2 linked regions of the Kluyveromyces lactis genome follow. The protein of the gene in region 2 purifies or fractionates together with the protein of the main gene of each other region. This does not show direct contact. Links are inferred from orthologs where the notes say so. Each region holds a gene or a part of one and is shown on either strand. Other genes may lie near its edges.

The links.
Region 1: the proteins of FAF1 (region 2) and ENP1 purify together in Saccharomyces cerevisiae (affinity purification with mass spectrometry; 4 studies listed by BioGRID). This does not show direct contact. The link is inferred for Kluyveromyces lactis from reciprocal best matches to the Saccharomyces cerevisiae genes FAF1 and ENP1.

What each region holds. Positions count from the first base shown.
Region 1 is NC_006042.1:637,427-640,547, reverse strand, and holds ENP1 (snoRNA-binding rRNA-processing protein ENP1), read right to left. Parts: upstream 1,938-3,121; coding exon 501-1,937; downstream 1-500. Other genes in the region: SNAP receptor USE1, read left to right, coding at 1-287; SRM1 (Ran guanyl-nucleotide exchange factor), read left to right, coding at 2,605-3,121. UniProt on the Saccharomyces cerevisiae protein: Required for normal export of the pre-40S particles from the nucleus to the cytoplasm.
Region 2 is NC_006040.1:1,360,119-1,362,843, forward strand, and holds FAF1 (Faf1p), read right to left. Parts: upstream 1,527-2,725; coding exon 501-1,526; downstream 1-500. Other genes in the region: 1-(5-phosphoribosyl)-5- ((5-phosphoribosylamino)methylideneamino)imidazole-4-carboxamide isomerase HIS6, read left to right, coding at 1,640-2,443; DNA-directed RNA polymerase II core subunit RPB3, read right to left, coding at 2,691-2,725. UniProt on the Saccharomyces cerevisiae protein: Required for pre-rRNA processing and 40S ribosomal subunit assembly. Seems to act in the processing of 35S rRNA at the A(0), A(1), and A(2) cleavage sites.

The DNA of each region.
Region 1 (3,121 bases), on a different chromosome or scaffold from region 2:
AGGATGATCTTCAGAAGGAACTGGTTGAAGACATGTCCCAGCTAGTTTCAGGCTTAAGACAAGGTGCGGAAGCTTTCCAGAATGCTATCGAACACGACTCTACTGTTCTTAAGGCAGCAGAAATCGGATTGCATGTTACTTCTAAGAGCCTTTCTTCACTCGGATCCAGATTGAAAAAGTATCACAATGAAAAAATTGGATTTTTAATGAAGTTAGGACTTTTATCGTTTATTATAATTGGTCTATTGGTCACCTATCTTGTAATAAAAGTATTTCCAGATTTATGAGTGTCTTCCGCTAAAATCTCCAAGATTTAGATAAAGGCTCTGCTTCACTCAAAAGCTTCAAAGTACAAAATAGACTCATGAATATTCGATGAAATTAATTGATACCGTTTCCACTTATCGAATAGATTGATTCTATTGATTGTCTTATCTATAATTGCATATTATACACTTGTTTAAAATTGACAGGCACTTATATTGTTATAGGACTATTGACTACAGAACATCAAACATTAAATCAGCTTTATTACCAACATCACTGACAAATTCTCTACTATCACCGGCTAATAATTCTCTTCTGATTTCAGGTCCAATTTCTTTGTGACCTCTTTGACGAACAGTTTCAAGTAGGAAATCTCTTTGATCTTGGGTAATATCATTCTTATAACGTTGAGCAAACGCTAAGAAAGCTTTATGCCATACCACAGGTAAGACTCTGACGGCATCTTGGCCTGTACTTCCATCAGTGACTTCTCTGAATCTCATGAAGTAGAAGACACATTCGTCAACAGTTTGATAAGGCAAAGCATACTTCTTCTCGAGTAGAATTTTGATGAAAACGGTGGTGGCTGGGGAAAAAGGTAATCTTAAAAGGTAGGACAATGCTGCAGCAGAATGAAGAGCTGGCACAGAGACCTTGGATAACACACTTGCAGCAATGGTAGCTTCTCTAACATTACAACCGGATTCCACAAGTGGGAATAAGAACCCTTTGAAAAAGGCAGCCGGTTTATACAATGATTTCTTTAATGCACGGTAGACATGGTAATTTAAGTTGTGATCTTCGTTAAATTCAATTTCTTCTCTGAAGCGTGGTAACAACACAGCTATAACGAATTTTTGGGCCTCTTTAGATGATAAGTTAGAAACAAAAAGTTTAGTACCTTCGTATATAGCATGCGGAGACCATTCCTCTGGATTAGTAACATAGAGAACATCTTGCCAGTTATTTAGAGAAGGCAAAACTTTGAATAGTTTGGGTAGTTTACCATGTCTCCAGGTCTGCATAATGGTACCAACGGCAAGGTATGCTTGAATCACCTTGGGTGGTAAGGCGACACCTTCTGTACGATCTACAGGTGCAGCTGGTTCCGCTACTGCAGAGGCATCACCTGCTTCTTCTTCATTATACTGTAGTTCCATCTCTTTTTCTCTAATAGAAGCCATAATCTTATCGGCAAGGTTATATGATCCATTGGCAGAGTTGAAATCAGCAGAAGTCTTGAAATATTGGTCAAACATTTCAGCATCTTCTTCGTCAATTTCTACCACTTCTTCCTCCTCGTATCCTTCGAAATCGTCTTCATCTTCCGGTTCAAAGTCAGATATGTTATTACCTTGAGCTTCCTCTTCCTCAGCTACATCATCTTCATCCGCATAGTTGGCCACACAGAATCTGTTTATTCCTTGGCTGGATGTCTGCAGAGACTGCTCGTCCTCTTCCTCTAATTCTTCCTGCTGTTCCCTAGCTAATTGCAAAATTTTTCTAGATTGCTGGGCATCGACAAATTCTTCATCTTCATGGCCTTTTTGATCCTTAGCATCGATCTTTTTCTTACCTTGTCTTTTCAACTTACCATGTTGAGAGTCAAGATCGTTCAATAAAGGATCGTGTCTCTGTTTACGACCGCTGCCACCCATTACTTTACCCATTTTCTCCGTAGAACAAATAAATCTTGTATCACTAGTCGTATTCTGAGCACTAAAGCAGACACTAATGAGTAATTTTGTGATTGTTATCTGCCATTTACCTCATCTCATCTCATCTCATCTCATCTCATCGCTTCTCATCTCATCGTTACTTATTCAAATCCCAAAAATTTTCAGTCAATGCACGGACAGAAAAAGAAAGGCTAGAGATACTCTGTTTAGAGAAGTCAAAGGTTCAATTAAATAACTCTGGAGCATTGGCAGCGGGATCGTCGTGATTGAAACAGATATGCCACAGCGTTGAACACAAATTCAAGCTACTGTAAACAGCCAAGAGCTATGTTCTTCTAATGATTACAGGCAAAGAATGTTGTTTGTTTTGCACGTGACTTTAAAATCTGGAAAGATTTTTCAACTGCAGCTTAGATTCGTTTTACGTATATATAATTAACAATGGATCAAGTGTAATGTGATCTCATATGCGTGGTGACACATTGCTGGTCTCTTGTTCACTCAAGCTTCTCCCTTGAGTTGTACTTATCGATTGATCAAAAACCAAGTGTTCATTTCCGTTTTTTTCGTTCCTTGCAATCTTAGCAAAGTTACAATTAACATTAGACTAGGCCCTTCCAATTAATCTTTTAATTGACCACCAGTTACTGAAGAAATCATGTCTAAAAGATCTTCTAGTGTAGCGAACACTCCAGTTAAAAGGAAGCATTTACACTCTACTTTGAATCATAAGTTTGTTAGCATCAATTCTCAAGATGATTATAAACATTTGTATAGATCTGTTGTTCCACTTGACATTTTTGTATGGGGAACTGGATCAATGTGTGAACTAGGCTTGGGTCCTCTAGCTAAAAACAAAGAAGTTAAGAGACCTAGACTCAATCCCCTTTTGCCCCGTGATGAGGCTAAAATTGTGTCTTTTGCTGCAGGTGGAATGCACACCCTAGCGCTAGACGCTGACAATAACATCTGGTCGTGGGGGACTAACGACTCAGGTGCTTTGGGTAGAGACACTAGCGGAGCTGTAGAAAAATTGAAAGATATGGATGCAAATGATAGTGATGATGATGAAGATGGTGACCTCAACGAAATTGAATCCACTCCAACTAAAATTCCTAGAGACTCTTTACCATTGGACGAATTAAGATGTGTACAGATTGCTGCCACAGACAATC
Region 2 (2,725 bases):
GGATAGCACTCTAGCAGCCCTCTCTGGGAATTGGGCTGGCCAATTCCCAACGTTTAACGGGGTGGTTACAATCCAGAGTATGCATTTTAAAACTGACGTCCGTTGCTTGTTTGGGGTCCGGGTAACACCACGTGGGACATATATATATGTTCCCTTTTGTCAACTCGCGATGACTACATTTATTCTTACTTGGCCTGTCTCTGGCAATATCTAAGCTGAATGCTATTGGAATTGGCTCGAGGGATAAAATACGGTCTGAAATTTCCGATTACATGATTACATGAAGCTGGGTTCTAGGCAAATCGTGAGTAAGTAGGTGATTTGTGAAATGATTGCTTGTTGATTCAATTGGAGATCACAGAAGGGGCCCTTAGAGGCCCCTTCAGAGACTCCACAATTCTGTATTTGATTGATTGATTGAATGAATGATTGAATAGCTGGTACCGCACGTGCGGTGCCGTTTATATATGCAGCTTGTAAATTATATAATAATCCCGATCTCAATTCTTGTCAGCACGTGCAAGCCACGTCGTTTCACTTGCTCCCTTTATTTTGGCGATATCCGCAGCACTCAACTTCAATCCGTTACGAGTGCTATGACCCACGCTCTGTACCTTCAATCCGAAGTCTCTAATGGCACCCGATCTCTTTTTTAGCTTCCCACGTCCAATACGTCTCTCGATGTCGTTCTTGTATGTGGACTCGATGCGACGGAACTCTCCGCGTGATACACGTGACAACACCGTTCCTGCGTCACGTGCTTCTTGTTCGTATTTAGTGATACGTCCCGTATGCTTCTTGATCATACCCTTCCGTATGTTCATGGGCATCGATTCGAGGTTCTTGTGCTGCACCGCGTTGATCTGGGACAGCGATTGAAGTCTTGTCTCTAGGGTTCTGGCACGAGCCTTGCCGTGCAATTCGGAATCGTGTATTGTATCTTTGTCAGTTTGGAACGCACTGATGAGATGCGATTCCTTTAGGAACCGTTGTAATTCTATATCGTTTCGTAGGTTGTCTCTCTCCTGATCAGAATCCGAGTCAGAATCTGCAGCTGCATTCTGACCCGCTGTCTCTAAGGCTCGTACCGTTGGGGCCTTCCCGCTTCGTATTAACCTTTGTTCTTTCTTGCTAGGTTTGTATTCGTTTTGTTCTTCTTGGAATTTAACCACTCTTGGTTGTCTGACGGGTTGCTTCTTTTCAGGCAAGTCTTCTTCAAGATCTGACTCCTCTATCTCGTCGAACCCATAGAACGATGTGTCAGAACCAGATGCAGACTCACTTTCCTTCTCGTCCTCTGATTCAGACTGACTAACATTATCGTCATCGTCATCGCTATGTGCATTCTTGGTCTTGTCCTCGAAGCCCATGCTCTCCAGAGTCCCAAACTGTGCCTCAAAGGCAAGACGCTGAGCTTCTAGCTGTTTCATATACTCGTCGTCCATGTTGTTGGAGCCTGCGATATCTTGTTTGGGTCGAGTTATTTGCATCTGGTGCTGTTCATGTGATGACCATGTAGAGCTCATCGCGCATCGAAATTTTTCACCGTGCTTTTTTATTCAATGGATATCAAGAATTACCTGGGCAAGACCAAGAGTCAACTGATGTAAAGCACGTAAGCAAAGTACACCAGGCTACAATGACTAAGTTTGTCGGGTGCATTGATTTGCACGATGGGCAGGTGAAACAAATCGTGGGTGGTACGCTTACTGATTCGTCCAAAGATAAAGTTACTACGAATTTCGTATCGAAATTACCACCTTCTCATTATGCGAAGCTATACCATGAGAATCAGGTCGAGGGATGTCACGTTATTAAGCTGGGTCCCAATAACGATGAGGCAGCATTAGAAGCATTGAACGAATGTCCTAATTTTTTACAAGTAGGTGGTGGTATCACCCTGGATAACTGTGGATACTGGTTAAAGTATGCTTCCAAGATTATAGTAACGTCTTTTCTTTTCGATAAGAGTACATATCAGTTCCAACGTGAGAAATTGGTGAAATTGGCTGAAATATGTGGTAAGGACCGTTTAGTGGTAGATCTCTCATGCAAACGTGTCACGAAACCGGATCAAGAGCCAAAGTGGGTCGTTGCTATGAATAAATGGCAGACCCTTACTGATTTGGAGCTAAACGAAAGAACTTTCGCTGATCTTTGTCAATATACCGATGAATTCTTGGTTCATGCAGCAGATGTAGAGGGTCTATGTAATGGGATTGATGAAGAGCTAGTGGCTCATTTGTACAAATGGACTGCGGATATTCCAAAAGTGAAAATCGTATACGCAGGCGGCGCTAAGAGTGTGGATGATTTAAGGCTAGTAGAGAAATTGAGTCATGGCAAAATTGATTTGACCTTTGGTAGTGCTCTTGATATTTTTGGTGGATCCCTTGTAAAGTTCGAGGACTGTGTCCAATGGAACCATGAGAAACACGCTTAGCTTCCAGTCTTTGTCTAATAGTTACACTTTCGATGGAAATAAACATTCTATATAGAGATAGAGATATTGAAACATTTTTGACCGTTCAACTTTTGAACGGACGTGGTAGATTGGATGGTAGCAGATGCTGCTAGTGCCTTTGAGTATGCTAGTATTAAGGAATATATGCCTTGTGTTTCGTCAATGAATTATAGAAAAATCGTTGCCTTTCACGATAATTGTGGTAGCTTTTTCTTGTTGTCTTGTCTCACCATGCATCATCGTATCCTGAGCCTCCTACTG